Tribolium castaneum: one gene and its partner. The protein of the gene in region 2 purifies or fractionates together with the protein of the main gene of each other region. This does not show direct contact. Links are inferred from orthologs where the notes say so. Each region holds a gene or a part of one and is shown on either strand. Other genes may lie near its edges.

Evidence for each region. The genes of interacting proteins can lie anywhere in the genome.
Region 1: the proteins of Pomp (region 2) and proteasome assembly chaperone 2 purify together in Homo sapiens (co-immunoprecipitation; 6 studies listed by BioGRID and IntAct, counting the BioPlex papers as one, with this or other methods). This does not show direct contact. The link is inferred for Tribolium castaneum from reciprocal best matches to the Homo sapiens genes POMP and PSMG2.

The regions. Positions count from the first base shown.
Region 1 is NC_087394.1:29,412,468-29,417,450, forward strand, and holds proteasome assembly chaperone 2, read left to right. Parts: upstream 1-2,036; 5' UTR 2,037-2,137; coding exon 2,138-2,863; 3' UTR 2,864-2,923; downstream 2,924-4,983. Other genes in the region: uncharacterized protein LOC100142369, read right to left, coding at 1-82, 135-276, 325-532, 582-773, 822-955, 1,003-1,216; zinc finger protein OZF, read left to right, coding at 3,072-3,206, 3,256-3,788, 3,834-4,398. UniProt on the Homo sapiens protein: Chaperone protein which promotes assembly of the 20S proteasome as part of a heterodimer with PSMG1.
Region 2 is NC_087402.1:10,194,716-10,200,026, reverse strand, and holds Pomp (proteasome maturation protein), read left to right. Parts: upstream 1-2,824; 5' UTR 2,825-2,927; coding exon 2,928-2,930; intron 2,931-2,979; coding exon 2,980-3,138; intron 3,139-3,184; coding exon 3,185-3,448; 3' UTR 3,449-3,501; downstream 3,502-5,311. Other genes in the region: putative divalent cation/proton antiporter TMEM165, read right to left, coding at 45-121, 175-280, 327-500, 546-721, 902-1,115, 1,167-1,295; uncharacterized protein LOC103312852, read left to right, coding at 1,923-1,934, 1,980-2,612; lysophospholipase-like protein 1, read right to left, coding at 3,502-3,984, 4,032-4,153, 4,199-4,280. UniProt on the Homo sapiens protein: Molecular chaperone essential for the assembly of standard proteasomes and immunoproteasomes. Degraded after completion of proteasome maturation. Mediates the association of 20S preproteasome with the endoplasmic reticulum.

The DNA of each region.
Region 1 (4,983 bases), on a different chromosome or scaffold from region 2:
GTCGGGGTAGAAGCGCGTCCAATGAAACAACTCCTGACTTGCCCTTATTTTAACGAGAGCCCATCTTTTATCAGCTATGAAACTAAATCAAAATTTGTTTTAATTGTACTTATAAACTTAGGTACATATCTTACCACTGTTTGTCAAAAATTAGGTAAAGAAAGTCAATGTGGTTTTCGATATCTTTTTGTATTGCCGAACTTTTCGAATCAATGTCGTTCCTTGAAGCAATTATTTGTTGGTGCAGTTTCAAAAACGACGTTATCATATTTATTACTAGAGTGTTTAGTGTTATAAGGGGTTAATTAATTTGTTATTGCTCACCTAGCAGAAGGCCAGTGACGTAGGGACCACTCATTCTGCTGAAGCACATACACTTAACGAATTGGAAGACGTGTGGTGCAAAAACTTCGTCAAATAAGACTTGAGACTTGAGTGCTTGGCTTAATAAATGGTCCAAAAACTGGGCAAGAATCTGTTCGGCGCCCTTTGCAAAACTTGTTGGTTTCATAAAGAGGAATTTTCCGGTATTCTACAAATAATAAGTGAATTAATTCCTGATGGTTTTGTGCCTAGTTTACTTTAAGTTCTTCCTCCAGTAAGTCATACTGCATTTGCTGGACGACTTGACTTGCATTTTCCCGCTCAAAATCGTAAACTGCGCCAATTGATAACTTTTTGTAACCACTCAGGTCGACAAAAAGCTGGAGAATGGAAATAATAGCAGTTTCTTTATTGGACTTGTAGGCGTCCATCAGCTCAATTGCGATGCTCTAAAAGCGATAAAATGTAGTCAGTGTAACAAAAACTGTTACCTTTACTTCTAACTGGTCAGGTTGAGTCATTATTTTAAAATAAAGGCTCTCTTCATTTTTTGGTTTCAAGGCGCTCCAGAAATTCTCCCATTTGAGAGGTTTTACAGTTCGATCTCTAATGATCGAAGCTTCTGAAGGAGCTACAAACCAGTTATGTTTATGACTATATATTTGTTTTAAACTTTACATTCGGACGGAGATGATGTTCCGTAATCGATAGTTCCACTTGTGGTATTATCGTTGTTGTTTTCATCTCCCATCGGTTCTTCTCCCCTTGAAATGGTGGAAATACTTGGGGAAGAGACATTGGGGGACCCACTCTGAGGTGTGCTGGTGGCTCGGGTGTCTTGAGATGCGCGCTCGCGCTCATCGGCACGTAAAATTCTCATTAAATGAGACATTTTTACACGAAAATAAGCAAGAAAATCACTTGAGTGGTTTTTACCGCCAAGAAAAAACGTTAGGTGCCCACAAATTGTGGAGCGGCTGTACCAGATTTGAACTGGCCAATGGAGTGCAGGATTCACCGGCCATGCTGTGAGCGCTGCCAACCCATGGTATTATGTATTTAAAACATTTTCAAAGTATTCCGTTCCTCTCAAAATAATTTGCGAATTTTGCATTCGTACCACGATGAGGATGTTGAAAGTTCAGAAATTTTGAGAATATTGGAATGCAAGGTTGAAATGTACCGGCCGTTTTGAGAACAGTGGAACCAACCAACACAAATTAAAACGTGGGAAAAGTCTTGTTTGTGTCACCTCTAATCTCTGTGTGTGGTCTGTGGTTTGTGTTTATTATTTTTTCACAATTTATACCTACGGCCTTAATCTGTATCTACGGTAAGTACAACAGTAGTCTTATTGCTATTGCTGTTTTTGTGTGGTGGGAAATTAAAGAATGAACTTGTATTATGTGGAGAAAACTAATACAAATTAGGACCTCAAAAATTTATTAGAATTAAATAAGAGTGTTTCTAGATCATTAATGGTTTAATTGATGGTTTATTATCAATTTTACAATTAATGGTGGTAGAAGTGTGGCACGACTGTTTTTCTCAGACATGTGATACCTCCAATATTAGGAGGCACTTTTATCAAGACATTTGTGCTTACATAAAGCGATTAGAAATAAAATGAAAACAAAAATATTTAAAGATTGTGGGTGCAAATTTTAAAATAAATAATAATGATAATGAACTTGGGCCGCATGGGGTAATGCAGGTGCCTGTAAGCGTCAACTGTCAAAAATTATTTGCTTGTCATTAACCTTACTTTTCCTATTCAAAATAAACATTTTTGTGGCTTGTGAGCATCATAATTATGGCCGAATTATTTAAATTCAGCCAAAAACCCAACTTGGAGGGCTTCACTTTACTGATCCCCAGTGTTTCCGTCGGGAATGTGCCCCAACTTACAATCGACTTGCTGATAACATCCCTAAATTTCAAGAAAGTGGCCACTATCTGGCACCCCGCCATCGTTTCCTCCGTGGGATCGGACCCTTATCGAACAGACGGGCCCGAAATATGCACAGCATGCGAACTATACATCAAGGAAGATTTAAAAGTAGCCCTTATTCAACTGCGTTCAGCCATAAATGCGAAACTCGCCACCAAGTTCTTCACAGACTTGAAAAACTCCCTCACGCAGTTTAAAATCAAAAGCATTGTAATTCTCGCAAGTTCTTTTGACTACGAGTTGCATGTGGTTAGTAGCAACAAATTCTACTACATCAGTAACCAGGAAATTACCGATGTGATGAAAAGCTTAAACGTGAAGCCGAAGGAAGTGGAGTTTAACGGCAAATACTTGGTCCACGGATCTGGGTTTGCAGTCAAGTTATTTGAGGTGTTGGAGAGTAATTTTGAGTGTACAGTTTTGATCAAATACGTGTCAGAGGGTGACAACAGACCTGACGCAATTGCTTGCATAAATGTGTTGAACAAGTTTGTTAACGGCTTTACAAAGTGTAATGTGACGGAGATAAAATTTCCAAGTTCGTGGAATTGTGTCTTTGGGGGACCTCCACCTCTAGGGATTTATTAAAAAAGTGTATATATTTATTATAATTGTTTTTTGCATAAATATACTTTTTGAGTATTATCATTAGTTCGTTTTTTTAACTTTTGAAGAGAAATTTAAAACTTGCTAGGGTTTTTCGCGGCGTCATAGTGGTGACAAGTCAAAAACATCAACAACTTTAATCATAACCTTAGATTTACGACTATTTAAAAGATAGGTTTTTTGCGATAAAATGGATTTTAAGTGTCGTTTTTGTTTAATTAAAACTGAACCGGGCTCCTCTGTCAACCTTTTTGAATCTGGCTTTGTTGGACGAGGTAATGAAATTATCTGCGATGCAGTAATGAGTTTTGCACCAGAAGTTAAAGTAATTCTTTTCTGTGAGTTTCCTTTATATTTGCTATGCTTTTGTGCAGATTTCTCCTGAAGATGATTTCCCACAGTCGGTGTGTAAAGAGTGTCTCCACAAACTAAACAGTTGCATTGAATTTAGAACATTGATAATAGCATCAGACGCTAAATTAAAAAACCAGAATATAATAATGAAGCTTAAGGAAGCAATCACTTCTGCGTTAAGTTTTGAAGAGCCTACTCAAGAAGAAACAATTGGCACTAAAGAAGAAGGCGCTAGTGAATTTATTGACGTTCAAAATATTTATTTGGAAGAATGTAAAGATGAAAAACTTGTACCAATTAAAAAAAAGCACAAACGCGAAGCTTGCGAAGACAAGAAACCCGTGATAAAAAAGCACAGATGTGAAGAGTGTGATTTACTATTTAGGTACAGATATCAGTATATTGCCCACAAACATAAGCACACTGGTGACATGCCTTATCGTTGCGATTTATGTGATAAGGGCTTTGGGCTGAATTACCTCTTAACCAATCATAGGAGGATCCACTTTGAGGAACGTCCCTTCAAGTGTGAGGACTGTGACAAAGCATTCAAGTAAACACCTCTTGTTAATAATTCCTCTACGTTTAAATTTTGAAGGTTTCAGAGCTGTCTGGTCCTTCACAAAAGAATCCACAAAGGAATAAAACCATACAAATGCGATTTGTGTGACAAGAGTTTCGTCCAATCAGGCGGTCTGCAGGTGCACAGGAGAAGACACACCGGGGAAAAGCCCTACGTGTGCGAGTTTTGCAGCAAAACGTTCGCAGGCTCTGATTCCCTGTGTAAGCATCTGAAGACACACCAGGACGGGCCTTCAGTGTTTTGTCCAGTTTGTGATAAGGGTTATAAGAACGAGTATTACATGAAATTGCATTTGAAGCAATGTCACACCAATGAAAAGCGTTACAGTTGTGAAATTTGTCAGAAAAAGTTTACGGCTAAGCCTAGTTTGAATGTGCATATGAGGATACACAGTGGAGTTAAGCCTTTTGAGTGTAAAGTGTGCAACAAAAGTTTTACTCAGTCTAGTGTTTTGATGAGGCATATGAGGACGCATTCAGGGGAAACCCCCTATCCCTGCAACTTGTGCGAGAAAAGGTTTGCCTACTCGCACCATCTTTTAAAACATGTGCAGAAAGAACATCCAGAGATTAGTTCTTAAATTAATTGTGTGAGAAATGTCTGTATTTTTTTTGTAAAATTTCTATAATAAAATTTATAAAAATTTCCGTGTTTTATTTGATTTCATTTTTAATGCTTAATTTTTTAACTCTTATGAGAAGAAAAAAATTATTTAAATTTTTTTCTTGTTTTGCAATGTCCTTAGTCTGATCTAATTTTTAACATTATTATTAGAAGTATAATTTGCCACAGAAACGTAAAGACTTGTACTGAGATGCAAGTTTAGACTTTTGTTTTTAGGAACAAAGAAGAAGAATATAAAAATCACGTCAGATGATTGTTTTCGAATTAACTCCACCTAAAAATGGTAGTTCTGTGACTAAATTAATTAAAAAAAGAAAGAAATACTACAATACTGTAGTACAGTAAAACCTCCTATGGACACCTCCGAATAACGGACACCTCGTCACAACGGACTTTTTTGTAGGAACGCAACAAAAACATTAGAAAATGATTAAAGAAAACCTTACAACGGACAAAAAATCCCCAATTACTATAATATTATATCAATTTACCTTTTACAAGGGACAGACCGAAAGCGTGGTGGTGAAACATTTGTTTCAAG
Region 2 (5,311 bases):
TCAAATCGGTAAAAAAATAAATTTAAACAATTACGGTTTCGTTTTTAACCCCCCATATTAGGGTCAAAAAATAGGGCAGAAAAGGCAAACAGGAGAAACACAACACCACCAATTATGGTCACTGGAATTACAAAAACAGTTATACTTTTTTTAATTTTATAACTGAGAAAATACCTGTCCTGACTGAAATTCTTTGCGCAATCATACGCCCCCCTAACACAGCCAACCCTGTACAAATCGAATGCCCCGCAATCCCCCCAATAATAACCCCATAAACATCCTGCAACAAATTTTTAACCAAAAATTAAAAAAATATGAAAAATTACTTCTCGGGCTCCTAAAATAATCGTTGTAAGTTGCGACCTGTCCCCCCATTCGGCTAAAAACGTTAAAGTGAACGACTGCAAGAAAATCCTCGAAATAAGGGAAAAGATACTATCGCTTTTTGGTTTTCGGGGGGCGCCTGACTCAGGGTCAGGCAACATTGCTTGTTTTTCATACTACAAATTAAATTCAAGGATTTTTAAAACCGGGGATTCCTTCACCTCCTCCTCTTTTTTGCGCAAGTCCGACTGGACCTCTTCTAACTCCTCCTGGCCTTCCCCGGGCGACATCGCGCAGCCCTCCTTTAACATCTTCAACCCGAAAATTGCAAACAAAGCTGTGCTAATGTAAAAAGTGTAGGCTCGGGGAATAACGTTGGCAAGCCATCCAAACAGAGCTAATAAAAACTTCCAATTCAATTTTTGTCCAAACTATGACTTTGAAATTAAGTTGGCGATAACTCGTTGCCAACTTAATTTCAAATCATGGGTCACTTTGCATTGAGAAAAAACTGTTATCTGTTTATTTTCTTATCACGTTTATCTTGATTAATTGCCCTAGTTGTGTAAATTCCTACCTGACAAGACTGTCATTAAGGCAAGCGCTGAAATAGCCCCTGCGAAAACAGTCGTTCTAGGATGCCTCATTGCCATGATAGCAGCTATAAAAAATGTTTTATCTCCGATCTCTGACACGAGAATAACAGAAAAAGAGGCAACGAATGCGTGAATGAAGCCGAAATTTTCCACAGCAATGATCTTTCCGGGTCCATCATCAGACGAGGCTGCGCTCTAATAAAAATATTCATTTTATTGACATAACCTCACTTTGGGGTTACTTACAGGAAGGCCATTGACTTCGGGACTCTCTTCCTTGGGTTCTAACTCCGCATAAATTGTTCTTAAATAGATTAAATATAATAAAGGCGCTACCCAAATTCGGTTTATTGAAGAGATTAATTTGCCCTTCATCGTTTTAAAATATCTTCACTAATAAAAATGAGATTAATAACTTCTGGTTGTAATCACATTCATTGGCATTTTTGATCAGAGAAATTAAAGGCAAGTTGGATTTTAATTGTTAAAAATAAATAAACTCATCACACAAACCACACTATACGGCGGTAATTTGACAACTGTCAACCAATGACAGGTTGGCAAATTTCGGAATGTGTCTAATGGCACGAACCGTGAAATTTGAATAATAATTACACAAAAACATCACATTCTATTTTAATTTATCACTACTAACATTGGTATTAACACGTTTTAAAGAAAGGTAATTAGAATTATAACTCTACGGTGTGAAAATCGTGACCTGACAATAGTGGTGGTTAAAGCAACACGCCGAGTTAAATGGAGCGAAAATTAAATTTTGGGATAAAGAAAGTGAAACAAATATTAGCATTTCTCACGCGGAAGCTAAAACCTACAATTTACTAATATGTATCATATTCTCAAAATATGGAAAGTTTGAACTGTTTATTATTTGGCGGCAATTATGCAACAGTTCGGATCAATCCAAAATTGCACGTTTGAAAACGGTATAAAACGTAGTCAAATCAGGAGAAAAGCATCAGTTTTTATTAGAATTTCACAATGAACAGAGTGGTATGTATCTGAGGGTTGAAACTATTGCTCAAATTATTGTTTTAGACGATTTTTCTTCTCCTTCTTGTGATAGCTGCGTGCCAGTCATTTTTCCTTCAAAGTAAAGACATAAAAAGGATGTTGCGGTACTTCCCCAAAGCTTTCGATATTGAAACAACGCGCAGTCGGCCTCTCCGGACCCGAAATCGAGAACCGGAACCAATTCACCATGATTACATCGATAGTTACGACAGACAAGATAATGGAGAGCCCTCAAAATACACAAAAAGTACCAAAGGACGAAACAGGAAACCAAATTACCATCACTGCGACCACCCCGATCACTACCACCACCATCACCACCCAGAAGATCGCGTACAAACGCAGCGCAATAACAAAAATACGAAATATGAAGACAGTGAGGATTACGACACTGATAAGAAGAAATATAAAAAGAAAATGATTTTGAACGAAGAAAAGGAAAATGCTGACGATCAAAAGGACAAAAAGGATTACATAACTGGAGTTTTAGTGACCATTCCGAAAATTAAAGGGAGTGGGGACGCAGAAAGTTATTTGAAAAGCGGCAAACACAATGTGTTCTTCCAGCAACCACTAAAGACTGAAGATGAGGATTATCACCACTATCACCGTCATCATATTCCAGGAGACGAAGATTTTGACTCATATTTCTATTAATTGTGAAGTTATTGATAATAAACAAACCAACTTTTTACAACACGTTTTTTTGTTCGGCCTTAATTCAAATTTGAAACAGTGGGGCCAATTGTGTCATGACTTTACAAAAATGATTTTAAAATTGTTTAAAATAAAAAAAACAGTTTGAAATGCATAATAAATGGGAATTATTCAGTGTTTTTGGTTTTAATTACTTGAAGCAAAAATTATTTAAATTTGGTTCAGGGGCGCCGCCTGGTGGTCGCTACATGTAGCACAATTTGACATAGGTTTTTGACAGTGCTTATTCATTATTTTGTATTGAATTTGTTTAAAATGGTGCGAGAAAATAAAGTTAATTTGGACACCTAACCAGGAATTGTTTCAGAGTTTCGCACTTCCGTCTGTTAAGTCAAAGCCGGGCCAGCCCGAGGACTTTTGCATCAATGAGGGCAAGTTTGGGGTCCCTGAGGCATTCACCGGTGGTTTGTCCTCTGTTAGGGCTAGCCTAGACGTGCCTCATCCCCTCATGTTGTCAGAATTGAATGTAAGAAGGTCCTTACGTGAGTCAAGTGTTGAAATTTTTGTTCCAGTATCGAAAAAATCTAGACAAAATGAACATGACAATATTGAGGAATACACAAGGTTTGCATGCCCCTCTCAGGATTGCAATGGAGCAAAAGGCGGTGAAAAAAGTGGGTCATTTGCCGTTCTTGCCCTCACACAACGTATTACATGAGTCCCTGACCGGTCGTGATATTGAAATGGATTCTACTGATGTGTTTAACACTCCAGAATTTGTTGAAATTGCTGGACTACCTCATGCTGTGGTGGAAAAATCTTTGGGGATTTTGTAGTTACGAACATTTTTTTTAATAAAATATATTTACTAAATGTAATAAATAAAAAATTAAGGCCCTCGTTCTGGTGGTATCACATTTTTGATCCACTCCAGTAATTTCTCCAGTTCATTCTTTTTCAATTCGTGTAAAGTATTGTTCAGTGGCACAAATTCCCCTTTCACTCCCAGTTTCGTAAGATTATTGAACGTCTCCTCGCCCCACTCTTGGGGCACCAGCTCGTCTCTGTCCCCATGACACATAAAAAGTGGGGTATTCACAGCTTGAATATTTTTATAAACTTCCGATTCATTGTTAAGAAACGACGATAAGGCAAACACCCCCGCCAAGCCTGGAGTGAACCTATAGGCAGTGTGTAGGGCCAGAGCGCCCCCCATGGAAAACCCCCCAATTACAATCCTGTTCAGGGGAATCCCGGCATCAATTTCTTCCGAAATCAATGATTTAATATCATGTTTTATGTCTTCCAACGTCTCGACGTGTTCAGGGACCTCAGGTGTGATGTCGTAGCGATTAAACCAAACATTACTCAACTGAAAAACAAATTGGAGTCATTTATTTCCACACTGGAGTGTCATACGGCTCCGTCTAATGGTGTATAAGGCCTCACGGGGGCTGTAGGAAAAATGAATTTAACGTGAGGTAGCGAGAAATCCCTGATTAGAAATTTGATCCAATCCAGAATTCCTTTACCCGTGTCCCCTGTAAAAACAAGGTGAAAACCTGCAACGTGATGTAACCTCTCACCTGAGCCGTGTAAAAAGATAACAGAACCGGTATTGCTGGAATTTGTTGGTTTGATGATGCGCAAGGGCTTTATTCGGGACATTTTGTGCTTATTTAAGTTTTTTGAGCAAGTGATTGATGTGTAAAATGATAAAAAGTCATCTATTATAGGCTAGTAAAGAAACACATCGTGTGTATTGCTGGTTGTCTACCATACCTGTAAGTTTTGGGGCCGGTTTATATACAGAGTGTCTAAAAATTGGTGAATTCCGAGTTCAGAGTGTCCTTCAACGCCGTTCTAGATAATTACTTCAGTAGTCCAAATATAGAAACAAAATAAAGATTCGGGGCTTCTCCACAAAGATACATTGGTTTGAAGATGCACTGAGGTGAACTATGAATTGCTTTTTCTTCAAATGCAGGCTAAAAATGTCAGTATTTATTGTTGTTTATGATGTAGTTGATTGTGGAAAATAATAATGTAAAACAATATTTCGAAAAATTGGCTTCATTTCACTTTTCCTAAAAATGAAACGACAAATTACAAAAATTTAAGATTTTTTTACATTGTTATTTTCCACAATTATCATTACTATAAATAAAAATAAACACTGAAACTTTTAGCCTGCATTGGAAAAATGCAGTTCAAAGAGTTCAAAGTGCTTCCCCACATTGGTTTGAAGGTGCACTTCAAGTGCAAATGCGTTTTCTTCAAATGCAGGCTTTTTTGTGGTTATTGTTGTTTATGATGTAGTTGATTGGGGAAAATAGTAATGTAAAACAAATTTTCGAAAAAATTGCTTCATTTTGGAGTAAAAAAAGCAATTTTTTAAAATTGTTTTACATTATTATTCTCCACAATCATCTTCACTATAAATTAAAATAAACACTGAAGCTTTTAGCTTGCACTGAAAAAAATGCATTTAAAAAAGTGATTCTCTACAATGCTCCGAACTCGGAAAACGCCAGTTTGAACCAATCAACTGCTCTGATTCACAATCTAAACCTACAATTTAATTAATTTGTTAACTTGCCCTTAATTTATTACTTTGTACTAAATAATTGAAAAATTAGAAATTTTTAGTTTAGAATTTTTATTAGATCTTTTGGTTGAGTAAGGATATTTATTCATTA